Linked DNA regions of Notamacropus eugenii. The protein of the gene in region 4 purifies or fractionates together with the protein of the main gene of each other region. This does not show direct contact. Links are inferred from orthologs where the notes say so. Each region holds a gene or a part of one and is shown on either strand. Other genes may lie near its edges.

Region 1 (6,925 bases), about 78 Mb from region 4:
AAGAACTTTGGAATTGACTCTGTGACACGGGAGACACTGGCACAGGGCCACTCAGCATGATGTGCCCACATCAGAGATGGGGCTGTGCTCCATGACCAAAACAGAATTGAAACAGCTCAAAGGAAATGCAGGATGTGCAAATTTAAAGTAGCCACCCCGAATGTTTACACATGTGCCTGACCTGTGGTAGAGCATTCTGAGGTCGTACTGGTCTGATCAGCCACAGTTGGACACACTGAAACTTGACTCTAGCATAGCGATGTCTCTTTGGTTCTCCTTGAGAACAAAGGACAAGAATCACCACCAGAAGAAGGAAAGCTTTGATCACATATAGACAACATAGCTTAACACAGAACAGGTCATACAAGATAAACCTCTGTTTCCTTACTTCATTAGAATGCTGTCGATACAGTACATCTAGATTTCAGTAAAGCATTTGACAAGTCTCTCGTGCTATCTTTACGGATGAGATGTAAAGACACAGACCAGATAATAATGGGTAGATTTATAAATGGTTGAAAGACTTAATAGTCTTTCAAAGAATAATCATGATGCCATCTTGGAGAGAGGTATCCAACAAAAAGCTCCAGGGACTGGCTCTATGTTGTTTACAATTTTTACAACTTGGGTGAAGGAATAGATGCATATCAAATCCATGCAATTAATACAATGGATGACAAATTCAAGACCAAAGAAGATCTTGGCATGTGAGTCCCACTGAACTATGCCCTGATTAGATCATAGCTGAAGTACTTAGTGATACTGACAAGCTGGAGATTATCCAGAGGGCAACAGGAGGGCAAGGGAGCTGGAAACTATGCCATACAAGGATCAGCTAAGAGAAATGGGGATGCTTAACGAAAAGGTTTTAGGGAGAACATGTTCACTTTATTCAATATTTGAAGGGCTGTCATGTAGAAGGAGAATTAGACTTTTTTTGCTTGGTCCCAGAGAGCAAAAGATGCAATTTGTAGAAAGGCAGATATACTTCAATGTGAAGAAAAATTTTCTAACATTTTACACTTCTTCCTTTCATGTATTCTACAGTTATAGGCTCAGAAGATCTGGATAGATCCATAGATGCCAGCTAATGCAATCTCTTCATTTTACAGAGAAGGAAACTGAGCCTTAGGGAGGTGAAGTGACTGACTTCGGTGAAGTTCACAGTGTCAAGAAATAGAGTGTAAACTCAGGTCCTCTGCTTCCAGAGTTAGTGACCCTGTTCCATGCTGGCCTCCAATTAAATTAGCCCAATACCCCAGATTCATTGCATTCCACTTCCCACCTTTAAGCACTTGTGCAGACTGCCCTCTAGATTTGAAATATGCTCCTTCCTCACTACTCTCTTATCTTTCTTCAAGATGCAATTCAAGTACTACTTCCTATAGGAAGTCTTTCCTGATCCCCTTAGTGCTCCCAGCTCTCTGAGGGCAGAAATTGTTTTTAACTGACTTTGTATCTCCAGCATCTGGCAGTATCTCACACATAGTAAACACTTAATGCTTATTGAATAAATGAATGGAATAACAGAATGATCCCCAAAAGGGATGGGCTCCTTAGAAAGTAGGTGCTTCCTGACACTAGAGATAATCAAGTGTTATCGATAACATGGAAGAGATTCTTGTATAGGTAGGGAGGGATTGAACCTCATGGACTCTGAGGTTTCTTCCACCTCGAGGATTCTGAACTCTCATAATGTTGTTTGGTGTCTTCCTCACTCCCTCATAATCAATCTGAGGGGAAATATGCAGGATGAACCTTTTATCAAAGGCTCATTGTGTCACCACTGGGAATAATGTCCCAGGTAGCTACAGCCCTAGCTTCCCTATACCTTTTGGATGTGCTCCTGTTCCAGGGTTGAAATGGGACAGATTGTCTTCATTTCACATCTCCCTAGTGACTCATCCAGAGTTCTGTTTTTATTTTTTGGTCCAGTTCTGTGATTTATTTAGTGTAGGGAACTCCTGTTGAGGAAACTCCCTCCTCCAGTGGTTGGCACTGCAAGCGCTTAATGAAACCTTGTCAATTGATTCCAATGCTATTTAGCAACTATCCCTCAAATTATAGCTTTAGAGAGGTGTCTGAGGCACCAAGAGGTTAAAAGACCATACGGCCAGTTTGAATCAGAAGGCAGGTATTCCGGACTCTAAGATCAGTTATCTATTTACTATACCATACTATCTCTGAATCTGTACTTAACTGGTACTAAATTTTTTTTAGGTGAATTGAAGGACTCAAACTTACATTGGATCCAATAAGCACTGAGAGTCTTTCTATTACATCCAAGAAAACATCATTCTTGTGACTCTGGAAAAGAAAAGGGATCTGGAGTAAACAAATGCCTGGTTCTCAGGGATTAGAGGTAGAAGAGACTGGGAGAAGAGATATCTGGGTCCCAGAAAATAGAGGATTATCCTAAGAATTTGGGAGACTGAACGGCTGGAACAGAGAAACCACTGGGAAGTTGGATACATGGGTGCAGATGCATGGATGTTTGATAACACAGATATCCTTCCTCACCTGGTCAGTGCGGCTAGTTAGGACTGGACGGCTGGCTGCACTGCTTGGGGCCACTTTGCTCTGCTGTGTTTCAGCCCCAAACTGTAAAAAATCCACAAGTAGTCAGTCCTCTAGCTAATCCTACCTTAACTCATCTCCCCAAACCAACTTCTCCCTTTCCTTCACTAACCAGACCAACACTGCTGAGCTCAAAGAGGTTGAAGGGCTTGCTGACCACTGCCTCAGTTTGAATGAAGTTCCTCAGCATCTCTGAAGATGTGGTCTGGATGTAGCCATAGTCCTGTAATAGAAATGGTATGTTTTTGTATGCCCAAGTTATAGGTGTGCGTGGATGGAGGGAAAAGGGACCTAGATCTTCTAATAAAAAGGGCGCATCTCCTTGGAATTGGAGATGAGGGGAGAAGTCTCTGGGCCCTTAGCCTTTGCTCCTTACCAGCACTTCATCCAAGAGTTCATAAACAAGGGCTACATTAAGGGAGAGAGTCTTCTCGCTGATGGAGCCACAATAATCACTTAGTAGGGTGGCTAGCCTGGGGAAAAGAAGAAGCAATGGGTCTTCTGAACTCCAATTCCCCATCCCCTCTCTCTACCACCGTCCTCACCTTGACAACAGCTCGAGAAGAATGAACGGGGAAACACCCCCAGAGGTGGTGACCACAAGGTAGAGGCTGAAGTGCCGGATGTGGACAAAGTGGTAGCCTTTGTGATGCTTGGGGAATGGGTGACAGTTTGGGGAGTGGAGGAACGAACACGAATAAAGGGTTAAAAACAAGAACGGGAGTCTTGGAAGGACGTTCCAGGAAGCCAGATCCCCCGTCCTCTCTAGCCCAGTGTGGCTGACCGCTCCTTGCCCCAGATCCCACCCCGTGCCCCCCAGGGTCGTTACCATCACCACAGGAGGCTGGTCCCCTGGCAGCTCCGTAACCTTCCTGTAGAAGATCTCGGCCACATCGCTGCCTCCACAGTCTCCTCGGACTGAGCGGACCGGGTTAAGGGCGGCCCAGGTTGTCCAGCGTCTCGGCCCCCGGACCCAGCCGCCCCACGCCCTCCCTCCCGGCCCACGGGTGGGAGGATACAGTCCTTGTAGATGAGAGGGTCCCCCTTGTAGGACAGAATGAAGAGCTGGGAGATCATGGCCCTCCGCGGCACAACAAGCGCAGGCTGGGCCGGTCTGGACTCCGCCGGACGCTGGCTTCCTCACTAAGCCCCGCCTCCTCACTAAGCCCGGCCTCTCTAGGCGTAACCTCCCCATGTGGCCCCTGATTGGCTGAGGTTTGGCGGACCAGCGGGGGAAGAGGAGGGAGAGGGTGACGCTCACGGTTCCCCCTTGGGGCGGGGTCTCAGGCCGAGCCGCACCCGCGGGGGCGGGAACTTCGGCGGCGGCGGCAAACACTCCTTTCCCTATTGGCTCTAGGGGGAGCGTCGGTCACGTGGTCAGGGACGTTTCGCGCCAATTTCGGTTGCTCCCCCGAGTTTCTTGCGCGCTGGCTCTTCTCCCTCTCTCCCTTTTCAAGATCCCACCAACCGCCTTCCGCCGCCGGCCCGCTAGTTCTGCTCGGGACACCACTACCCCGTCCGCTCCGTCCGGCAGCTATGGCTCCTAAGGACTACGCGGCCGAAAAAGGTGAGGGGTCAAAGGGGGCGCGGCAGGAGCCCCTGGGGCGCTGGAGGCTGGGAAGAGTGGGCTGGCGGCTAGGCGAAGAGGCAGGCAAGGGGCTCAGGGGAGTGGGGTCAGCTGTGCGGGAGAAGAAGGGAGGCCTGGGGGACTTGGCGGGGGGGCGCAAGCTGGGGTACTGAAGAGCCGCAGGGGGAGATTCTGGGGGAGCTCGGGAGGGGCAGGGCACACTCAGGCAAGGGAGGTGGCCGGACTCTGGGGACGGGAGCGGGAGGACAGGGAGTGAGAGCGGGGACCGGGCCGCTGGAGAAAGTTTACGGAGGGCAGGGCAGGGCAGGAGCGGAAAGTAACCCTGTGCCCCGGCGGAGGGCTTGGTGAGAGGGGCTATTCCCGGAGCAGCCGCCTAGCCTGCATCCGACCCCGTTGTCCCCGAGTCCTTCCTTGAGATCGGAACCAGGGACACGCCGAGCCCCTGGTATTGGTTTAGGACCTGGCCGTCTAGACGGAAGTGACGTTTGCTGGCGGAAGTGCGGTGCTTCTGTTCGAAAGCAGTGCTATGTAAATAATCTCCTTCCGCGGGGCCAGCACTGATGAGGTCCGGATAAGTTGAGGGAGGGCATTAGGTCGGGGTAGCATCCTGGAGAGCTCAGGGAGAGGACGTTGTTGAGGACACCGGGTAGTAGTGCCCCGTCTGCCCGGGATCTCGGGCACTCCCCTGAGCAGTGCTCAGGCATCCCGTGGGGCAGTGGAGGGGGGTGTGGTTGTGGTTGGCGCCATGTGCTTCTTTGTTTACAAAGAATGGAAACTGTTGGAACCAGTAGGGACTTAGTGAAAAAGGTAAGGCTGGAGTCATGGGCTCACCTTTTAGCACCGAAAAGTGCCTTTTGAGGGTTGGAGAAAGAATAAAAGTTTTGTTAGGAGTGGGAAGCTGAAGGCTGGGAGACTTGGAAATTTAGAAACTTGTTTGTGGGGAAGAAATAGAGGAAGGAGAAAAGGACTGTGCCAAAAAGCAAAGCCCAGTCTGGATAGTTTTAGTGGTATCCTTGGAATACATTATAGCGACCCAACATGAAATTTTTTTGGACCACTCTACACCAACAGAAGAAAAGGAATACCACTTGGCAATCTTTCTTCCTCAATTCATTTCAAAATTAGGCTGTGATGACTTTTTCCAGTCAGTTTGTTTTGATACAAGTAGATCAAGACTAGTATCAAGAGTTTCCATAGGGAGGACTGAAAAAGAAAAAATAATTTTCTGTCTTTTTGCTAACAGAGAAAGCTAAGAGGTTTCTACAAGAGTTTTACCGAGATGATGAGTTTGGCAAGAAACAATTCAAGTATGGGGACCAACTGGTGAGTTCAGGGATGGGTGATTAAAAGAAAAACCAGGACAGGTACACAGATGAGGAATGAGACTTGAGAAGTGGTTCATTCTATATGCTTTCCTACAGAAGCTTGACTTACTGGGGGGGTCATGGGTCATGGTAGTTCTCCAGAGTTTGGGTCCTACTGGAGTAATGAAGAACTGATTATACAAGGTAGGGAACCACTAGGGTAGGAAATCACATGAGTGTGGAGTGGGAAGACAGATGAAAATGAAGATTACTTTCAGAAACTACACTTTTAAGGTTAGAAAATCATATTTCCTGTGGGACTTAGCTTATTACATATATATTTTTTGGTGATGTGATTTTTTTGAAAACCCAAATCATGTTATTGTAACAGTGAGAATTCAAAGGCAGTGCTTATTGCACAGTGAAGGTTCAAAGTCTCCATCGATTAGGCACATTGAGGAGTGAAATTTGAATTCCTTGCCAAGGTGGCTAAGATTTAAGGGATGTTTTGCAAACATTTGCAAAGGGAAGTGGTGCTCATGAAGGGTCTTTTATAAATGGGGTTACTAGGTTAGATTAGAGAGGTGCCTTAAGCATAGTTGAACTAAATTTCAGCAATGTTTCAACAGACTCTTTCATCCTATGAACAAAATGAAGACTTCAGCTACTGTATGTCGGTAGACTTAGAACTGTTGAGTTAACTAAACATATGATCTGTAGGTTCCTTTCATCTTGGGAGATCTCTAGTGAAATGCCCCAGAAGTCTGTTTTTGCTTCTGTGCTGTTCCCTATTTTTATTAGTAACTTGAACAAAGATATACAGAGCATGCTTACCAAATCTTTCAAGTGACACAAAGGTGAGAATGATAGCTAACATGTTTAATCACAGAATTAAGATTTTAAAAAATATTGGCTGGAAAGACTAGTGGGCCAAATCTAATAAAATGCTTTTGGATGTCAATCAGTTAGCAAACATTTATTAAGAGAGCAGTGTGGGTAGACATTCACATCAAAAAGATGGAGATATAGGTGTTAGTGACCTCAAAGCTCAACATGAATCATTAGTACATGGCATCACCCAGTCTATTGTCCCCAACTCTTCTCTATCTAGATAGGTGTAGGGTCCATGATCCTCAGGATTTGTGAGAAGAAAAATCTTGGCAGCTGTGTAAGTGAAAACTGAAATATGAGGTGTTGCTTAGAAAGCAAGCTTATAAAGTTAATTGCCAGTGCATTACAGATAATATCATTTTGTTGGGAAGAATAGCACTTTTTTTTTTCTTTCTTGGAGTGATAAATGAAAACTGGAAAGTTTAATGTACTCATTAAGAAAAGCATAATATCCAGAACAAATTGATAATTTTACTGTTCACTGTCCATATCTAAAGTATTTTATTCAGGTTAGGAAGGTCAAACTTAAGACTAGAGAAAGATGAGGATGGTGCAGAACATATTT
Region 2 (7,362 bases), about 350 Mb from region 4:
ATAAAAGGAAACTAACAATTTGGAAGGGGGATAGCAGAGAAAGAAGTCTAGAGGATCAGGAGCAGAGAGACCAGGGAAGAGTGAAGGCAGACCTGGGACTTACCTGACAATGGAGATTCTGAGAGGAATTGACCAATTAGAGGAAAGGGTTATGGGGGCAGAGGGATCTTTCAGGGTTAAAAGGACTACAGGGACATGGTGGAGAACAAAGATCAGAGATTCAGGTGGTTCCTCAACTCTGAATGTTCCCAAAGCGTGTGGCCTCTCCCAGGTATGGAACCAGCGGTATGGAAATCTGTGGGAGAGTATAGCCTCTATAATACCCAACAAAGTGAACATATATATGGTGGATGTGGGAAAAGGAGAAGAGGAGAGTTTTCTTGTAATTCATTGTGCTCTGCTATTTGATTAAATGTCTTTTCTTTGGACTAAAGGGTCTTCTCATTCAAATAAAAGGAACATCAGTGGGAGAACACAAGGAGAACCTGGTACTCAAGAGAGTGGACAGGAATGGAAGCTGTTTTCTTGATGAATCCAAGTTTCTATTAGAGCAAAAAGATGGAATTCAAGTCACTTGACCAGATAAACTATATCCTTGAGTCCTGGAAGAACTGTCCAGTATGATTGCTGAGCCACTATCATCGATAGCTGAAAGGTCATAGGAAATGACAGAAGTTGGAAAAGGAATATGTTGTCTTGATTTTCAAAAGAGGGCAAGAGAACAGAGTCTATACCCTATACAGAATCTATAAGTCAAGGAGTTTGACTTTGATTCCTGGAGACATTCTAGAACCAATCATTTAAAAAATGGTTGAAAAACATCTAGAAAAGGAAAACAAATGGTGATAGTGAAGTGGATAGAGCACTGGGCCTGGAGTTGGGAAGGTCTCAAACATTTACAAGCTGTTACCCTGGGTAAGTCACTTGGCCACTGTCTGCCTCCACTTCTCAACTGTAAAATGAGGGTGATAATAGCAATATCACAGGGTTATTGTGAAGATCACATGGCATATGCATGAAGCTCTTAGCACAATGCCTTGCATATAGTAGAGCAGTTAATAAAGGCTTATTCCCTTTCCCTTATAAAGAGCCAACGTGGCTTCCTCTAGAACAGGTTATGCCAAACTAACCTCATTTCCTTTTTTGACAGGATTACTAAAACAAGAGGGCAGTTAGGTGGTGCAGTGGATAGAGCACCAGTGCAGGAGTCAGGAGGACCTGAGTTCAAATCTTACCTCAGACACTTGACACTCACTAGCTGTGTGACCTTGGGAAAGTCACTTAACCCCAACTGCCTCATCCTGGGCCATCTCCAGTCATTCTGATGAATGGTCACTGAATTCAGATGGCTCTGGAGGAGAAGTGAGGCTGGTGACCCGCACAGATCTCTCTCACTCAAAAACAACAAAGTCAAATACAAGTCGTATCATCATTTCTCTACACACACTAAAATAAGAGATGAGAGGAATGCTGTGAATATAGTTTACCTTGATTTTAGCAAAGCTTTTGATCAAGTGTCCTCATACTATCCATGTGGCTATAGTGAAGAAATATGGATTAATGACAATACAATCAGATCTGTCCAGAACTGGTCAGATGATCCAACTCAAAAAGTAATTGCCAATGGTTCCATATGGATATGGCAAAGGTACTCCTTTGTATCTGGGCTTGGTGTTGTGTCATTGAACATTTTTGATGGTGCAATTCATTAAATTGGAAGAAGGCACAAAGCCAAGAAATATAGTTAATACACTGGGTGGCAGAAACAGAATTCCAAAGAAAAAACTCCATAGTGATAAATGTAAAGTCTCACATTGTACCATAAATCAATTTCACAAGTGGAAAATGGGGGAGGTATGTTTATTAAGAAAGTCGTTCTTTAAAAAAAAAAAAAAGTTCTGGACAATGAGTTCAATATGAGGTTATAGCGAAATATGGAAGACTTCTAAAAAGTTAAACTAATCTCAGGTTTCATTGACAGGGACAGAGCTTCCAGGAAAATAGGAAAGTGATAGTCCCACTGCACTCTACTCTTGTCAGACTTCATCTTGTTCTTTGTGACCCCATTTGGGATTTTCTTGGCAAAGATACTGGAGTGGGTTGCTTTTCCAGCTCATTTTATAAAGCAAGAAACTGATGCAAACAGAATTAAATGACTTGCCAGGATCACACAGCTAGTAAGTGTCTGAGATCAGATTTGAACTCAGAAAGATGAGTCTTCCCGTCTCTGGACCCAGTGCTCTATTTGTTGCACCTTCTAGCTACCCTTTGTCAGACTTCATCTAGAATACTATGTTCAGTTCTGGACACTATAATTTAAGAAGGACCTTGATAGGTTAGAAAATATCCAATGGAGGGAAGTCAGGATGGTGAAGGGCCTTCAGTATTTGTCATATGAAGACCAGTTAATGGAATTAGGAACGTTTAGCCTGGAGAAGAGAAGACTCAGTGGGGCATGATAAAAGTCTTCAGGTATTTGAAGGAGTTGTCATATAGAGAATCTAGTCTAGTTCTGTTGGGCCCCAGAGAGCAAGCAATGGAAGCTGTAAAGATTTAGCCTGTGATATCAGGGAAAACTTTGAGCAATTAGCATTGTCCAAAAAGGGAGTGCACTGCTTCCGGAAATGAAGGGTTCCTCCTGCTTGGAGATCTTCAAGCAAGAAATGCGATGAACAATTAATTATCTGAGGTGTTATGGTGGGGGATTCCTTTTGTGTATATGTTGAACTATATAGAGACCGAGGTACCTTTCAACTCTCAAGCTCTGTGATCCTATAAATATTATCTCGTCTAACTTCCGAGTCATTGCTCTGTTCTGTCTTCATTTCCCTACCTATTTGCCTGCTTCTTCTCGGTCTCCTTTACTCCTACACACACGGATACAAGCACAAGCACAAGATTTTTCCTCAAGACCTCTTCTCTTCTCTATATTCATTCAATCAGTGATCTCATTGGTTCTCATAGCTTGAGGTATCACCTCTATGCAGATGATTCTTCAATCAGCTGTAATCTCCTCTCCTGAATTCCAGTCCTTCTTAGCTCACTGTCTGTTGGACATCCCAAACCCATTATTACCAAAATAAAATTCATTATATTCCCATTCCTCTTCCAAACATCCCCATTTCTTTTGTAGGCATCACCATCCTTCCTATGACCCAGATTTTCAAAGTCAAAGTCATCCTTGATTCTTCCCCTCACCCCCCCCATATCCAATCAGTTGCTAAGTCTTGTTGATTTTACTCCTATAACATGTCCAGAATTAGTACCTCTTCTCTCCACTTTATTCAAACTCTCATCACCTCTCCTACCCTCTAGCAATAGCTTCCTAATTGTTCTCCCATCTTCCAGTCTTTTTCCCTCTCCAGCTCATTCTCCACACAAGTACAAATTAGCATTTCTAAAGTGCAAGTCTGACCAGGTGACTGCCCAAACATCTTCAGTGATGTTCTATCATCTCTAAGAAAAATACAAACTCCTTAGATTGGCATTTATAGTCCCTCAAAATCTGACTGCCACCTACATTATTTTACATATTCCTTTTTCAAGTACTCAACATTTCAGCCAAACTGAATGTATTGATTAGCCCTGAGTCATGTTGTCTTGAAAAGTCTCCCCTCCAAAAAACCAAAGCACTGTAAGACTACTCTATCTTCTCTGGAAGAAGCATCAGCAGATGACAGTTCCAGCAGATGTCAGTAGTAGCTTCGAAGAGAAAATGAACATTAGTTTGGGAAGAAGAGGAAAGGAGAGGCATTCCAAAAGAGATGCAACCTTTCTTCTCCTAGGAATATGCTTTTTCCAGAGGATATTCCCTTTCCTGCTGGCATGGAAGGCTAGCAGGGAGGAGTCGTGCTGACATGCTGAGAATGGTTCTACCACTTAATTTTCCCTTATTTACTTTTTATTTTATCATAACTAAATACTGTACCATCTAATTTATTTTTTGTGCCTGGTCTGTGGGTTGGATGGTTGTCATATTTGCAAAAGTGTCACCCAAAATACCCCATACTGAATCTGGGATAGTAAAGGGGTCAAAAATGTTTGGGACCTGTGGTATTCAGTAAATACTTAAGGAATAAAAGTGAATGAATGAATGATGAAATTGACTAGCCCACTTACAGGAAATCTTATCCACATGACACCTTAGCATAATTAATGTCATTAATTACACAAAGGAAATGGAATTAACTAGTCCCAAACTGTTGTACCACACTTTCTTTAAACTGGAATAGAGTTATGATGTGATCTTTCCCTGCCCCCACCCCAACTACCACTTTATGACATCAGAGAAGATACAGCCTCATAAGTGACATGCCATAGTTCCTTTCTCACATTCATCTCAAAGGAAGAGATGGTTTATAACTGCGGTGATTGGAAGAAGAGAAATCCTAATAAGGCTAAGGCAAGTGAATATGTTAGTCACTTATTTTTTAAAGATTCTTTTTTGAGGGTCTGATTGTTAGGAAGTAGTAAATCAAGAAAGGTAGAAGGACAAGGAAGAGTAATAGCAGCTTTACTCACACCCTTGCCGCTCCTTTCTTCTTGTTCCAATCAGATCTTCAATCAGATCAAATGTCACTTAAGGACTCGTAGTGGTAGTCACATCTCCCCAACTAGGTTGTGAACTCTATAAGAACCGAGAATTCTGCCGTATCTCTGCAGGAACTTCTTAGGTGCTTAATTATTTATTTATTGAATCTGCTTTAATAGAAGGGAGAGGTAGCAGGTTTGATTTTTTTAAATTTGGCTTTAAAATAATTCTATCATGCCTTTCCCTCCCCAGCACATGATGAAGAGGGAACATTGGGAGACTAATTTCCTTCAGTTTTACTCAATCCTAAGCAAAAAATTAGCATGGGAGAGGAGGGATACCACCTGAAAGCAAGGATGGTCTAAAGTTGAGCTGCTGTTGAAAAACACTAGGGAAGTTCGGAGAGTTGTGTTTGAAATCAACCCATTTTCTCATCTGTAAGAATGGTCTTAAATATCCAAAACTTCTTAACAGCCCAGGTCTCTTGGCTTTCCAGGTTTCACTATATCACATTGCCTTTTTGATTGCACATTTGATTGTGCAACATGGGAGACACTGGCACAGGACCTCTCAGTATGGCATGCCCACATCAGAAAAGGTGCTGTGTTCTATGAGCAAAGCAGAATTGAAACATCACAAAGTAAATGCAGGATGCGCAAATTTGGAGTAACCACCTCAAATGTTCACAAAGACTATCTGTGCCCAATCTGTGGTAGAGCTCGTATTGGTCTGATCAGACACAGCCAAACATGTTGAAACTTGACTTTATCATGGTGATGTCATTTTGGTCCTCTTCGAAAACAAAGGACAACAACCAACCAACTAACCATATCACATTGCCTGATACAGGGAGGGATGATAATAAAGGGTGAGCAAAGTGCTCATGGATCTTATAAAACCACCAGAATGAGTGTAGTGCAATCCTCTGTCAAATATTTCCCCTGACAAAAAATAAGGGTGAATAAACAGAAAGGCATTTGTTAAGATGGCAAATAAAGAATTTATTAAGCACTTCTATGCCAGGAACTGTGTTAAGCACTGAGAATACAAAGGGAAAAAAACAGTCCCCACTCTTTGCCCTCTTGGGGGGAAAAATGCAAGCATCTATGTGCAGATAAGACATATAAGGGACAGTGAACAAAGGAAAAGTATTTGAATTAAAAGGGATTAGAAAAGGCTTCCTATAAAGATGGGCTTTTTGCTGGGACTTGAAGGAAGCCAGGAAAGTCAGAAGGCAGAGAGGAGAAAGAAAAACTTTCTGAATAAAGGGGACAGGCAGTGAAAATGTCCAGAGTTAGGAGATGGAGAGATTTTCATTCAAGGAACAACAAGAAGATGAGTATGGTCGGATCAGAGCATAAGGTGTAAGAAGATTGAAAAGATAAACGGAGATAAATTGGGTTATGAAGAGCTTTGAATCACACATTTTATATTTGATCCTGGAGGTGATAGGAGACTAGAGGGGGATTGTTGGAGGGTGACATGATCAGACTTGAAATCACTTTGACATATAATTGACAGCTGAGAGATTTGTGGCAGGGACATTGATCAGTCCAAATCTGAGGTGATAAGGACCTGTTTCCAAGGTAGTGACAGTGTCAGAGGACAGAAGGAGGCACATGCTAGAGATGTCACAAATATAAAACTGATGGGTCTTGGCAAAGATTAGATGAGGGGGGAGGGAATGAAATAGAGTATTGGAGTTGGGAGGACTTGAGTTCAAATTTGACCTCAGATACTAACTCTGTAACCCTGGGCAAGTCACCTAACCCCAACTACCTCAAAAAAAGATGGTGAGAAGTTAAGATACCTGGAAAGTTAAGAAGCCTGGAAAACTAGGAAGATGGTAGTATCCTCAACAGTTTCAGGGAAATTAGGAATAGGGAAGGATTTGAGTTAAGATAATGAGTTCACTTTTGGACATGTTGAGTTTAAGATGTCTACTGGATATATGAGAGCAATGCCTATCCTCAAGGATCTTACATTCTAACGGGAAAAAAAACACCACACAAAAGGGAACTGAAAATTTGGGGAGGGAGAAAGGTGAAGAGAGAAGGTACCAGGAAGGTACATGGCCAGAGGTGGAAAAGTTGAGTAAGGGGTAGAGCTCATTGAGACTTGAGTGGTAATTGGCCCTGGGAAATTCCTCAAATGGAGGTTCTAGGAAGATACTCACTGAGGAGAAGAGGAAGCCTCTATTAATCCCTTACTATGTGCCAAGCATTGTACCTAGGCTGGGGAAATAGGAAAAAATAGAAAACTTGAGACAATCCCTGCCTTCAATTACACTCTAATTGTAGGAAACAGCACCAAAGAAAGCTTTCCCACCCCCACCCCAATCCCTCAGTGAGTATATTTTTCTAAGCATTGCTTTCGTAGGTCTCTCAAGACCTGTGAGCTCAGCCTGGGCTTTTACAACAGAATCAGTCAAGCAACCATTATTTATTAAGTACCAGCACGAACCAGTGTACCGTGCTTATGCTGAGAAAATGAAGACAAAAAAACTGCCCTCAGGAAGTGCACATTCTGATGGGAAAAGAGAGCATATAAATAGATATATGCAAGATCTATACAGTTAGATGAAAGGCAATTTCCGAGGGGAAAAAGCAGCTAAAAGGACCTTGAAAGATCTTCTGCAGAAAGTGTCTTCAAAGAAACCAGAGAAAGTAAGAGAGTAGAGCTAAAAAGACAGAGATGGGAGATGGAGCATTTGTTTGAGGAATACAAGTGCACCAATGCCCGCTCTAGGTGGTACAGTGGATATGATGCCATCCTTGGAGTGGTTCAAGGCACTTCCTAGCAATGTGACCCTGGGCAAGTCACTTAACCCT
Region 3 (6,318 bases), on a different chromosome or scaffold from region 4:
ACATATACGTGTTTCCCTTGAAAGTGCTGCCATTCACCTCATCCTCCACGTTCATACCCTTCAACGTTATCTTTGATTTGTTCTTCTCTCTCATCTCTCTCATCGTCCATCAAGTACCAAATTCTAGCCATTTTGCCTCTGCAGAATCTCTCATTCCATCCTTTTTATTCTCACTGTAAGTCACCTTGTATATTCATCGCCATCTGCCCAGGCTTCTGCAGTAGCCTTCTAACAACTTCTAAAACTTCCACTTTCACTTTTCCCTCATTCCAGTCCATCCCTCATAATGCTGCCAGGTCACAACCCCTCAGAGGATTACCCTTTGTCCCCTGAGTAAAGATCACACTGCCTTGCCTGGCATTCACAGCCCTCAGAAATCTGGCCCTCACTACATTTTCAGTCCTCTATTACTCCCCGATATCCTGTACTTCAGTGAAATTGTACTGCTTGTTACCTTTACATGTTTTCCACTTGGCTACCTTTCCTCAACACAGTTGCTTATGCCTGAAATGCCCTTTCCTGCTCCCAGGTGCTCCCAGTGCTTTAAAGCTCAACCTCTTACTGCTAGGAATCCTCCCCTTCAGTTATGACATATTCCTTCCTTCCCTTCCCTTACACCTGTGCCTTTTAAGCATTTATGTGGACCTTGACTTATTTAACCTCCTATATTTTGTTTTCTCTGTTCATGTGTGTCATATTCCTTAACTAAATCTTAACTCCATAAGGACAGGAATTGTCTTATCTAAGCTTTGTTTACATTTCATCGAACACCTCGTGTAGTGTTCAGCACACAGTAGACACTTGTTTGTTGAATTGAATAACTCAAATGTACAGATTTTCAGGTCTGTAAAGTACTTTCTTCACAGTCCTGTGAGGTAGGATTATTATAATCCTCATTCTACAGATGAGGAAATTGAAATTCAGAGAGGACATGTTACCATGGGTTTCCACAACCAATAAGTTTGTGACCCTAGAATGTGAACCTATGATTCTTAACTCTTTCTATAATACTCTGCTGCCTCTTGAGTGTCACACTCCATTTCCTCTGTAGGCTCAACACCAAAACTGGGAAGCTGGAGATGAGCTATTCCAAGTTCAAGGCCAAGAACCTTTCTCTCTTGGGCACCCTGATACTGAAGGTAAGGTTGACATGCACACCCAGGTACTACTATAGACCCAGAGCATGGGAACTCCAGACCCAGAGCAGACCTGAGGGAAGGTTTGTGCTTTTCCTCTTACTGATGTGAAACATGGCTATGGTTAACACCCACCTTCTGCTTCTCCAGGGTGCAGAAGCCCTCCGATTGGTGGCTGTCCGTCGAGGTGAAAATGAGGCTGGTGCCTACATTGAGTGCAACAACATGACCCTCATTAACCTGCTCATCAAGATCTTGGGGCCCATTCATGAAAAAAATCTCACTTTGTTGCTTCTGCTCCTGCAGGTGATCCTTTGGGCTAAGATGGGCATGGCGGGTCCTTATCCCTCTTCCTTATTCTTCTGTTTTCCATATATCCTCTCCCCAGGCTGGTTACCCTCCTAAGGTCTCCCTCCCTGCCTCCTTTTCTCATGACTCTCCATCTATTTCTCCTTGCAGATTCTGGCTAGTGCTATCACATTCTCTATTCGATACCAGCTGGTTCGGCTCTTCTATGATATTTGAGTCTTTGACGGTGACTCTTTACTTCACAACCCTCTGCCCCTGTCTCATGTGGACCCCTGTTGGACTAAGACTGTATTCCTCATAAGCCTATTGGGCTTCTCCCCATCCTTATTGTCTTCAAAATTATCTCCTTGGGGAGGTATCCTACCCCTCAATGATTATTTATTGATTGTATTTGCCCTATGGACTTCCCTAAATTGACATTTTTCTCCCTTTCCTTCCTTTCCTGATGCTTCCCCTGGGGCAGGAGGCAGCAGCTTCTTGGAAGCTAGGTTGCCACTAGGGATCAGGCTAAGTCCCTGGTGGTTCCTAATGGTTCCACCCTGAATTGATATGTTACTGGGAATTAAGCATTTTGATTAATAAGGAGCAACCTGAGTGGTCATTAGCTCCTTTTGGTGATGATAAATATGTTTGGTTCACTTTTTTAACTGTGGGTGTGCTCTTGTTTTCAGATGATTTTGGGGGGGCAGGGGAGGGAACACTTCCCTGCCTGCTTCCACCATTAGGTAAATATCAAATCCTGGCCCCTCTTTCTGTCTTCTTTGCTCCAGATACTGAGCTCCTTCCCTTCCTTGCAGGTGGGGGAAACATACATAGTTAAGTCATGCAACCTATGTGGAAAATTACATTGGAGAAAAACAACCAGGTGGAATAGCTATCTGAAAATGTGTCACATAGAAGGAAGTATTAGACTTCTTTTGCTTAAGTCTTGAGTATAGACCCAAGGCCAATGAGTGGAAGTCACATAGGAACAGATTTTGCCTTAGTAAGAGAAAATTTTCAAAAACCAACTCCTTATCAGAGCTATCAACAAATGGACTGAACCCCTTCAACAGGCAGTGAACTTGCCAGTCAATGGAAGCTGTTCAAAAGGAGGTCACTAACCACTTGTCGAGGACTGCCACTGATAAGAGTGAATGAATGAAGCACTTATTAAGTGTTTACTATGTGCAAAGCACTGTGCTAAGTGCTGGGCAGGCACATAGAAAAGTCAGGCCGGCCCTCCCCAGGAGCTCATATTCTAATGGAGAAACACCACATGCAAGGTTCAGCTGCAAGTCTCACGGTTCTTAGGGTGCAGCTGCAAGGGAGCTGGAAATACCTTTTCTTTAATGTTACTTCCACCAATAAAATCATATTGACTTCTGATGGTGAACCACTTGGCAGTGCCAGGGGCTTTGGTGGCAAGACCCTTCTTTTCTGAGTCTTCAGTAACTGTGGCTGCAGCACTTTCAGAACAATTTTGAGGGCTGGGCTAGAAGCAGGAGTGATGCTGTAAAGGTTGCTGAAGCTCTTAGGGCTCTTATGTCTATCTGCCTGTTGGTGGCAATTATTTCTAGTGTTGATGACAAAGGTTGAGAGGGATGATCGCCCTTTTAACTGTCCAGTCTTAAGGAGTGGAAGTGAAGGATGAGAGGGAAAGACTGATCTCTGAGGAAGACATAAGACCAAAGGGTGGAAATCTGAAAGGTAAATTTAGATTTTATGTAAGGAAAAATTGCCAAACAGAACTATGGAAAGGTAGAATAAACTGCTTTGGTCACTAGTAGGTTTCCCCCTTCTTGGGTGTCAAAGTCTTGAAGCTGAGGTTATATTGTAGATTGGATCCTATTCAGGTATGGGATGGAACCAGGGATGAGGAACCTTTGGTATCGAGGCTGGAACTTTGAAGTTTGGATTCAACGGCTGTACTAGAGGGCCACAAGTGTCCTTGAGGTCAAAGGTTCCCCATCCTTGGTTAGATGGATGGATGGATGGATGGAGGGAGGGAAAAAAAGTAAGTGCTGACTCTCAGTTGTTTCAGACTCTATGACCCCATGTGGGGTTTTCTTGGCAAAGATACCGAAGTGGTTTGCTATTTCCTTTTCCAGCTCATTTTACAGGTAAAGAACCGGGGCAAACAGCTGCCCCTAACGACAACAAACGTGCTAAGTGCGGGAGATATAACTAGAAAAGTTTGAGTCCCTGCCCTCCCAGCTCCCAAGTCCCCTCCCTCTTGTAGATGTGAGAGAAGACCCCGATCCTTCAGCTGGGGCTGGGGCCCAGTCAGGGGCTGGAGTTTTCCCTTCTCTTAGGGACTGGGCTGCAGGGACCTCTTCTTACCCACTGAACTTGTTCAAACAGGGTTTGGATTTGGAATAAAGGGCCTGGGCTAAAGGAAAACCAATTCAAAACTTCATTTTAACCTTGACCCTGGGTTTTTGCATTTCCCAAGACAATCATCGCTAGTAACAGCATCAAGCGCGGGGGACAAAGAAGGTCCGCCCAGCCTCCCACCAGAGCTCACTCAGCACGCGGTGAGCACCTGCGGCGTACCGGCACCGGCCCGAGGGGCGCGGAGGGCGGCGCCAGGCCGTGCAGTCAGACACGCCTCCCTGGTTCGGATCTAGTCTCAGCCGCCGGCAGGCTCGGGGCTCCTCGGCAGAACGGGCTGGAGAGGGAACGGCAAGCCGCAGCCGCTGCCTGGAGGGGCGGGGAAGGAAGGCGAACACGCGGGAGGAAATCTTCGGGACTAGTCCTTAGGCAAGGGGCGGGCCCTCATGGGAAAGGGCCTTCCTCACCCTTCCCGTAGCGGGCGCCTCCGGGGGGCGGGGCCCGGGCTCCGCCGGCGCTGGACGGTCCCGAGGGACCGCCCTCTGTCCGGCTCTTTCGGTCCTGTCTGACTCTGTGGCTTTGTTTTCTTGGCAAAGATATTGGGGTGATTCGCCGTTTCCTTCTCTAACTCATTTGACAGATGAGGAAACTGAGGCAGACAGGATGAAGTGACTTGCCCGAGGTCACAGCTACTAAGTGTCTGAGGTCGGATTTGAAGTAGGGAACCCGAGTACTCTTCCGCGGGCGCTCATTTGCCTTTCTTGGCGCCTAGGCCATTTGAATCTCCCGCGCTTCCGATGGATTGGCCGCTTGGGGGAGCGGGAAGCCGGGGGTGGGGAGGAGCGAAGCCGACCGCGCCCCTCCCTCTAGTTTGCTAGTCGGAGTGATCTTCCCCGGGTTAGAAGAATTTTTAAATCCAGCCAATCGGTAAGCACGCTCATACGCTCAGGAGGAGGAGCCTGATAGCTAAGGGCAGCCAATCGGAGGCGGCCTCCATGATGCAGCCAATAGGGAACTAAAGGACGCTGTGACCGGCCGCCTTAAAGGCGGCAGCTTTGCACGCGGACCGGCATTTAGACTGCGGCGAGAGTTTGGTGAGTGTGTGTGCGCACGCGCAGCCGTTACTCGCGGTAGTTCTCTCGGAACCAGTCTCGCGCTTTATACGTTAGCATGTCGGGTCGCGGCAAGACCGGCGGGAAGGCCCGTGCCAAGGCCAAGTCTCGCTCTTCGCGGGCCGGGCTGCAGTTCCCTGTGGGCCGTGTGCACCGATTGCTGAGGAAGGGCCACTACGCGGAGCGAGTCGGAGCCGGCGCGCCGGTGTACCTGGCGGCCGTGCTGGAGTACTTGACGGCCGAGATCCTGGAGCTGGCGGGGAACGCGGCCCGGGACAACAAGAAGACCCGCATCATCCCCCGCCACCTGCAGCTGGCCATCCGTAACGACGAGGAGCTCAACAAACTCCTGGGCGGCGTGACCATCGCCCAGGGCGGCGTCCTGCCCAACATCCAGGCGGTGCTGCTGCCCAAGAAGAGCGGCGCCATCACGGGACCCAAGGCCCCGGGCAGCGGCGGCAGCAAGAAGAGCACGCAGGCCTCGCAGGAGTACTGAGCGCCTCGCCGGCCTCGGCCCGTGGCCGCTCGGCCCGCACCGGCCCCCCTCCCCCACAAAGGCCCTTTTCAGGGCCGCCTCCCCCCTCCCTGAGAGAGCTGCTGCACCCGCCTCCCTCCCCGAGCCCCGCCCCCGCCGGCCCGGCCCGGCTAGAGCTGCAGCCCGGAGCCCGGAGCTGCGGCCCGGCCCGCCGGGGCCCGGGTTATTCTGACTCCTTCTCTCTTGGCAGCTACCGAACAAAGCCCGGGGCCATCGCGCCCCAAGGTCGCGCGGGGCCCCCAGACCAGCGAGGGCCAGACCTCGTCCGAACCCGGCCGGCCCCGACCCTGGACAATGAACTGAATTTTCTCAGCTTAGACTCGTTGCCTTTATCCGGGGAATTGAGAGACTGTGAACGACAATTCGGAAGTCTGATTAACTTAATTTTATTAAATTTTTTTTCTAATGAAGTTTCTTGTCTTTCTTCAGCTCCCCCTAGGTGCCAAAGGTTAGCTAAAGATCGTGGTGATTCGGTGGCCACTTTTCCTTGGGGGAATTTGGGTCTGGAGAGTAAAAAGATTTTAGTACGTAAATCAGTCAACGTGCGTATTTATGTGCCAGGAACTGGAGATAGATATACTGGAAGGTGAATGGGATGACTGTCCACACCCCAGTCATCATCTACAGGCTAAATAAAAATTCCACTAGAGTAAGGTCAGGTGTTTTATTGACAAATTTGGTTACATTCAAAGTCTGTAGACTCTCCACAGAAAACAATTCTCCAGCCCCTTGTAAAAGAGGGCCAGAACAAGGCACTAGGAAGCTTAGCAGCAACAGGTCCCCTTTCCCACACCTGAGGCCCAGATGATGCAGTTTTTTGTGCCCAGGGATAGTTCCTGTTGAGTTAATTAATCCGGGAAGGATTCAGGGCACCCCAGAACAAATCTGGTCAATGTTCCTGGGCAGAAAATGC
Region 4 (7,138 bases):
GTGTAGCCAAGGGGATTCCTGTTCAGGTAGTAGTAGTATTTGATGGCATCTGAGGTTCCTTCCAACTCTGAGGTTCTATGATTCTGTGGAGACCTGGCTCTTGCCCCACTTCTGCCTCCTTAGTATCTGAGTGACCTTGGAAAAGTTCCTTAAACTTTCTGAGTCTCATTCTCATCTCTAAAATTGCTGAACTAAATAACCTATAAAGTTCATTACAGCTGGAAATCCAATGATCCTGTGATTAATCCTCCCCTGGGTTGAACAAATTGTGGTATATTCATGCAATACAATACTATAATCCAATTATAGTTATGTGTGAGAAACAGAGAAATTGTTATGAAATAATACAGTGAGAAAATATGCAGAGCAATGGTGTCCACACAGACTATAATGATATGAGGAGGAGGACATGAGAAAGAATGGACAGATCATGATGGGAACTTAGGAGGGAAGGACTGAAATAATAACATTGTAATGCATTGAAATGAGTTATTTAAATGTAAAGAAGTAAGCAAGTTTAGATTTATGTATTTATGGTTAGTGCTGTTTCTGATAACACATTTAATAGTTCTTAAAAAATGTTTTAGTGCTGCATTTTGTCTTTATAACTGACATTTTAGCCTACCAGATCAGAGTGAATTCTCCTTTTCAACAAAGCCAAAAAAACCCCAACAATACAACACTATACCCAATTTATTTCTGTGCCAAGAGCAGAGAGGCAGAAAATATTTAATTTAATTTTCTAAGAGACAGAAACAGGCAGCTTCTGAAGGAAAAAACAAGATGATTTTCTTGGGGGAATGAAAGTTGGCTCTGATACTTAATTCACTAACCCTAAAAATCGTCTTGCTATTAATACAGTGGAAAGCTGGTTGGATTTGCAGTCAGGAGGCCAGGAGCAGAATCTCATTTCTGACCCTTAGCTCAGTGACCATGACAAGTCAATAAGGAAAATGAAAAATGAATAAAGACATATTTTTTTTTTTAATTCACAGAAGAAAACAAAGTGCAGAAGAGGAACATGAAAAATAGAACCATTTTGTTACTATCCTGTTGAGTTGTAAATCAAGGAAATAATAGCTAGCATTTACATAGCAAATGCTTTACAAATATTTTATTGAGCCTTACAATGAGTAGGTGATAGCATTATTCTTGTTTTACAAATGAAGAAACTAAGGCAGATATTGGTTAAGTGACTTGTCCAGGATCACACAAATAGTAAATGTCTGAGGTCAGTTAGAATATGGGTCTTCCTGACTCCAGGTCCAGCATTCTATCTACTGCACCACCTAGCTCCTATGGAAAACAAATATTTTGTTAAGAAAAGAACAAGGAATAGAAGTTCGATAGGTACCTTGTTGCTTTATTTTTACTCATTTCAATGTTTGTGTTGAAAAAAAGGGAAAAGGACCTATTTGTACAAAAAAAGTTCATAGCAGCTCTCTTTTGTGGTGGCTAAGAATTGGAAATCGAAGGGATGCCCAGCAATTTAGAAATAGCTAAACAAGTTGTGGTAAATGATTGTGATGGAATATTATTGTGCTATAAGAAATGACAAGCAGGATGATTTCAGAAAAACCTGGAAAGACTTACACGAACTGATGCAAAGGGAAGTGAACAGAACCAGGAGAGTGTTGTACACAATAACAGCAATACCGTATGATGATGAACTGTGAATAACTTAGATGTTCTTAGCAATACAATGATCCAAAACAACCCCAAAGGACAAATGATGAAGCATACTATTTGTCTCCAGAGAAAGAAATGATTGCGTTTGAATACAGACTGAAGTGTGCTATTTTTCACTTTTTCTCTCACTTGACTCTTGTACAAAATGACTAGTATGGTAACATTTTACATGATCACACATGTATAACCTATATCTCAGGGAGAGGTAAAATTTGGAACTCAAAATTTAAAAAGAATGTTAAAAATGTTTTAACATGTAGTTGGGGGAAATATATAAAAAAACAACAACGGCAACGGGGTCTCACACCTACCTTCTCTCTAAAATGTAAATGATATTCACATTGTTCTACCAACCTAGGCAGCTTGTTGGGGAAGGATTTTGCAAACATTAGAGGGCTGTATAAATGTGAACCATTATTCCCAGAGGTGTCCCATGATTTGAATTTTGGGGAGTAGTCCCATTCCTGGAGTCCTACATCCTGTCTATAAGTAAAGGACACTGGATTTGAAGTGTGGGGACCTGAGTTCGAATGCCTGCTGTGATGTTTCTCAACTAGGTGACCTTGGGCAAGTCACTTCACCCTGTTTGCCTCGGTTTCCTCATCTGTCAAATGAATTCGAGAAAGAAATGGCAAACCAGTCCAGTATCTTTGCCAAGAAAATCTCAAATGGGGTCATAAAGAGTCAGACATGACTCAACAACAACAGCTTACATGGGTCTTTGGATACCTCAAAGCACTGTAGGCATGCCATACGCATTAGGGTGATGAGGTTCTAGCACTTGCAGCTACACGTCTGGTGGAAAGCATTTATCTCGGTACCCTCTGACAATTTCCTAAGACCCCTCCCTGTCTTGCCCTAGGAAGGAATGGTTATGAATTGTACCCAGGACTGCTGGAAAAGGGATTGCTTCTGGCTTCTGCCATCTCAGAGAGCTGCCAAATCAGTTCTGGCTCCACTGTGAACCTGACACCGGAGACTGAACCCGACACTGAAATCTGTTTGCTTGTCTCTTTCTATGAGAATAAGCCTTGTGATTGTGGGAGGGGCGGGGTTGTGAGGATAGACAGCAGGTCTGTACCTTTAAAAGCTACAGTCCCACGGTATGGGGTGCTGGGAAGCCTGTGGCTAACTCACCGCATAGGCTTGGAGAATCCCTTGTCCCTTTCTCAGCCTCAGTTTCTTCATATGGGGCGGAAAATGAGGCGGAAAGAGAGTTTGGACAGGATGGATCTGAATCTTGCGCTCTGGTTGCCTAGCTAGTTCCGAGCCTCTCACCCCGTTAGCGGGTGGGGGCGGGGCCGCTGTCCAATGGACAGTCCCAGATTCGCAGTCAGGGCTGATCCCCATCCATACCCGAAGAATTGTGCCTGCAACGTATTAGGGCTCTTCTTGGGGATCTCTAGTGAGCGGGGAATTTGGGGGGGGGGTGAGGGCCTCCTCATCCCAGGGCATCACTCTAGGAACCCTAGGACTCAGAACTGGGAGGAACTTTGATAACCCGGAGACTCCCCTTGGTTTCACAGAAGGGGATGGGGAAGGGCCTCGCTCAAAGCCCCACGCGTGGAGGGCACAAGGTGGGAGCCGAATGCGTCCTGCTCCAGGTCTGGGGGGGGCCACACAGCTGTGCCCAACGGGCCAGGAAGCCTGTGCAGCCACGCACCTGCAGGCACGCACACAGCCCAGGGGCACACACCCACAGACACAGACACACGCACTCACGGGTACAAACACAAGTACGTACAGACACAGACATAGACACACACAACACAAGCGCGCATACACACGCACACAGCCCAGGAGCACACACAAAACACACGCGCGCGCACACACAACACACAGACACACACGCACACAGCCCAGGGGCACACATACAACTCACACACATGTACACACACACTCACGAGTACAAACACAAGTACGTACAGACACAGACATAGACACACACAACACAAACGCGCATACACACGCACACAGCCCAGGAGCACACACACAACACACGCGCGCGCACACACAACACACAGACACACACGCACACAGCCCAGGGGCACACATACAACTCACACACATGTACACACACACTCACGAGTACAAACACAAGTACGTACAGACACAGACATAGACACACACACAACACACGCGCGCGCACACACAACACACAGACACACACGCACACAGCCCAGGAGCACACAAACAACACATACACAACACATAGACACACGCACACACATGCACACAGCCCAGGGGCACACGCACAACACATAGACACACACGCACGTACACACACACGACACCGCAGGGTGCCGAGCTCGCATGTCCGAGGTCTGGGTACCGCTCGCCGAGCCTCGGGCCCCGCCCCCCTCCCGCAGTCCTCCAGCCTCTCTATGATGTCTTGGCGGGCCAGCAGAGATACTGCGGGGTCCCCTCTAGCCCGCTCGTCCTCTCTATGGCAGCGTCGCTTCCGGTGGCGGGAGCCGGGGCTGCGCACGCGGGAAAAGATTGTGATCCTGGAACCCCCCCCCTCCCCATAGTCCTCCCCTCCCGAGACCCCCGAGTGTACATCCATGCCCCCCAGGAACCCGGGGTTGAGGAGGTGAGGCGCGGGGCGGGAGTGAAGGGGGTGAGCCGCCAACATCCAGCCTGGGGGGAGGGCGGCTCGGAGGTGGGGGAGGGGAGAGGGGAGGGGGAAGAGAGGAATCAACAAGGGGAGGAGAGACAGGGTGGGGGGTTCGGAGAAGGGGCTCTTGGTTGGGAGGGAGGAGTCAGGTGAGGGACGTGAAGGGGAGGGGCCACCCAGAGCCTGGGAGAGGGGGACTCGAGGGTCCCTAGGTGGGGAGCCGGGGCCAGGGGCCACGTGAGGGAGGGCTGGGGGCGCCTCCGGGGGAAGTCCTGGAAGGGGGATGGGGAGGAGGGGGCCACTGGGGGGGCGCCGCGAGAGGCCAGGAGCCCCGGCTCTGCCCCCACGGGGAGCTGGAGGGGGGGGGCTCGGGGCTTTGACCCGCACTGGTCCAACGTCCACCTGCTCCGGTCCCGCGGTGTCGGGCGTGGGCATTGGGACCACAGCCACCAAAAGTGTCCTGGTTCTCCTGGGAGGTCGTCAGTGAGCCCCCTCCTCCGCCCCCTCCTGCCTCTAATCTCTCCCTGCCTACTGAGAGATGGAGGGGATCCTACAAACCTTTATTAAGTAACTATGTAACTACTCGCTGTGCCTGGCACGCACTTTTCATTTGCCTCCTCGCTTTCCCTCTTTCTCTTTGTTTCCAGGTCCCAGTAGGCTTCTGTTGACCTGCTCACCTCTTTGGAACCAGCGTCTTCCTGGGGGGGTCCTTCTGCTTAGTTTTCTGTTGTCTGGCGCTGGGGCTCCTGGGGCCGGGTCAGCATGGCAGAGACTTTGGAATTCAATGATATCTACCAGGAGGTGAAAGGTTCTATGGTAAGAAAGAAGGGGCACTTTAGGTAGAGGAGAGGGAGGATTGGAATGACCCCAGACCCCGGACCCGAGGACTACGGAGAGGGGAATAATCTCTTTCCGCAGGGGGGCTGACACTCTTGATAGTTTTTGAGGCTCGTGGGTTTCTCGGTATTTTCTTTAGTTTTTAACTAGCACGATGATAATATAATTATGGGGAAGACGTAGAATTATAGTCTCTTAGAGCTGGAAAGGACCCTTATAGCTTACCTAGTCCAACCCCTCATTTTACAGGTGAAAAAACTAAGGGCCAGAAAGTAGAATTGGCTTGTTCTAGGTCATTGTGGCAGAACTTGGGCTAAAAACAGGGTTCCTGACTCAGTCTGATGTTTTTGCCACAATTCCATACTGCCTCAAATTTATCTGCTTTGTTTTCTGAGCAACTTGCTGTCAGAGTGGGGGTCAGAGTAACAGGAATCCAGAGCATGTTTTATGTGATATCTTTGAATGTTCTGGTCCTTTTCTCCTGCAGAATGATGGTCGTCTTCGGTTGAGCCGACAAGGTATAATCTTTAAGAACAGCAAGACGGGCAAAGTGGACAACATCCAGGCTGGGGAGCTGACGGAAGGTGTCTGGAGACGGGTGGCTCTGGGCCATGGCCTCAAGCTTCTTACCAAGAATGGACACTTCTATAAGTATGATGGCTTCAGGGAATCGGTGAGATTTGCTCTTTCTCCTATCGCACTGGAGCCTGTTCTTACTCAGCCAGTCTTATACGTCTATGTCTTCTCTTTGCCTTCCAGATATAACTAATCTCTTTGTCATCCTATAATTGTATAACTCTAGGGGCCATGGGACAGTACTGTGTGACTTCTTAGTGATGCTTGACCATCACCTTCTCTTTGGTTTTAGGGGCATGTGAATTTGTCAGATTAGTTTTTTCGTCTTTTGTCCTTGCCTGAGTAACTCAATCTTTATTTTTTTTTTTTAGTCAGTTTTCTCTTCCTACCCCCAGAGAGGGAAAATAAAGGAAAATGAAACTTTATTACCAAATATTCATAATCAAACAAAACAAATTCTTATGTTAGCTATGCCCAAAAATAGGTTAAACTTTTCAGCTCACTGGTAGGAGGTCAGAAACATGCTTTAACTTCGGTCCTCTGGAATCATAATTGGTCTTTGCATGGATTGGAGTTCTTACAGCTTTCAGAGTTGTTTGTTTTTACAGTGGTGTTCTGATGTTCTCATGGTTCTGCTTCCTCTGCATCATAAATCTTCCTGAGGTTCTCTGAAACCATCCCACTTCATCATTTCTTCCAGCACACTAATTTCTGTTACATTTACGTACCATTATTTGTTTAGTTGATGGGTGTATAGCCTGGTTTCCAGTTCTTTGTTTGCTAGTACAAAAAAAAAGCAAGCTGATATAGATAGCTCCTTTTTTCTCTTTCTTGCATCTCTGGGGTATAGGCTAGTAGTAGAATCTCTATATGGAAGGGCAGTTTAATTAATTTTTAGGAATGGTTCCAGATTTCTTTCCAGATCAGCTGGACCAGTTCATATGTCCATCTGCAGTACGTTAATGTGCCTTGTTTTCTCACAGCTTCACCCACATCTATCATTTTCCTTTTTTGTCAACTTTGTTGATTTGATAGGTGTAGAGTCTTACAATTACTTTAATTTTCATTTCTCTAATTATTAGTGATCTGGATCAGTTTTTGCCTTCAGTATACTTGTAAATAACTTGGATTTCTTTCCTTGAAAATTTCCTACTTATATCCTTTGATCATTTTTCATTTGGAGAATGGCACTTTGAAAACCTATTCCTCCCCTGCCTTTCTAGTCTTTTTACTCCTTATTCCTTGGCATGTACTCTTTAGTCCAATGATGCAGGCTTCCTAGCTGTTCTACAACATACATACCATCTCTTGGATCTGGGCATTTTCTCTCACTGTCTTAACATGTTTGGGATGCTTTCCCTTCTCATCTCTGCATACTGCTTCCCCTGACTTCCTTTATGTCTCAACTAAATTCCCATA

The links.
Region 1: the proteins of SSRP1 (region 4) and MCM7 purify together in Homo sapiens (affinity purification with mass spectrometry; 4 studies listed by BioGRID and IntAct, with this or other methods). This does not show direct contact. The link is inferred for Notamacropus eugenii from reciprocal best matches to the Homo sapiens genes SSRP1 and MCM7.
Region 2: the proteins of SSRP1 (region 4) and TOP2A fractionate together in Homo sapiens (co-fractionation; 3 studies listed by BioGRID and IntAct, with this or other methods). This does not show direct contact. The link is inferred for Notamacropus eugenii from reciprocal best matches to the Homo sapiens genes SSRP1 and TOP2A.
Region 3: the proteins of SSRP1 (region 4) and H2AX purify together in Homo sapiens (affinity purification with mass spectrometry; 4 studies listed by BioGRID and IntAct, counting the BioPlex papers as one, with this or other methods). This does not show direct contact. The link is inferred for Notamacropus eugenii from reciprocal best matches to the Homo sapiens genes SSRP1 and H2AX.

What each region holds. Positions count from the first base shown.
Region 1 is NC_092873.1:80,676,630-80,683,554, forward strand, and holds the start of MCM7 (DNA replication licensing factor MCM7), read left to right. Parts: upstream 1-3,921; 5' UTR 3,922-4,113; coding exon 4,114-4,144; intron 4,145-5,408; coding exon 5,409-5,488; intron 5,489-6,925. Other genes in the region: AP4M1 (AP-4 complex subunit mu-1), read right to left, coding at 2,245-2,307, 2,521-2,601, 2,690-2,800, 2,954-3,050, 3,123-3,229, 3,407-3,495, 3,597-3,654. UniProt on the Homo sapiens protein: Acts as a component of the MCM2-7 complex (MCM complex) which is the replicative helicase essential for 'once per cell cycle' DNA replication initiation and elongation in eukaryotic cells.
Region 2 is NC_092873.1:355,954,830-355,962,191, reverse strand, and holds the start of TOP2A (DNA topoisomerase 2-alpha), read left to right. Parts: upstream 1-4,346; 5' UTR 4,347-4,351; coding exon 4,352-4,402; intron 4,403-7,362. UniProt on the Homo sapiens protein: Key decatenating enzyme that alters DNA topology by binding to two double-stranded DNA molecules, generating a double-stranded break in one of the strands, passing the intact strand through the broken strand, and religating the broken strand.
Region 3 is NC_092876.1:279,716,542-279,722,859, forward strand, and holds H2AX (histone H2AX), read left to right. Parts: upstream 1-4,820; 5' UTR 4,821-4,928; coding exon 4,929-5,366; 3' UTR 5,367-5,815; downstream 5,816-6,318. Other genes in the region: DPAGT1 (UDP-N-acetylglucosamine--dolichyl-phosphate N-acetylglucosaminephosphotransferase), read left to right, coding at 1,052-1,139, 1,287-1,442, 1,596-1,661. UniProt on the Homo sapiens protein: Variant histone H2A which replaces conventional H2A in a subset of nucleosomes. Nucleosomes wrap and compact DNA into chromatin, limiting DNA accessibility to the cellular machineries which require DNA as a template.
Region 4 is NC_092873.1:2,927,957-2,935,094, reverse strand, and holds the start of SSRP1 (FACT complex subunit SSRP1), read left to right. Parts: upstream 1-4,124; 5' UTR 4,125-4,282; intron 4,283-4,953; 5' UTR 4,954-5,068; coding exon 5,069-5,122; intron 5,123-5,630; coding exon 5,631-5,816; intron 5,817-7,138. UniProt on the Homo sapiens protein: Component of the FACT complex, a general chromatin factor that acts to reorganize nucleosomes. The FACT complex is involved in multiple processes that require DNA as a template such as mRNA elongation, DNA replication and DNA repair.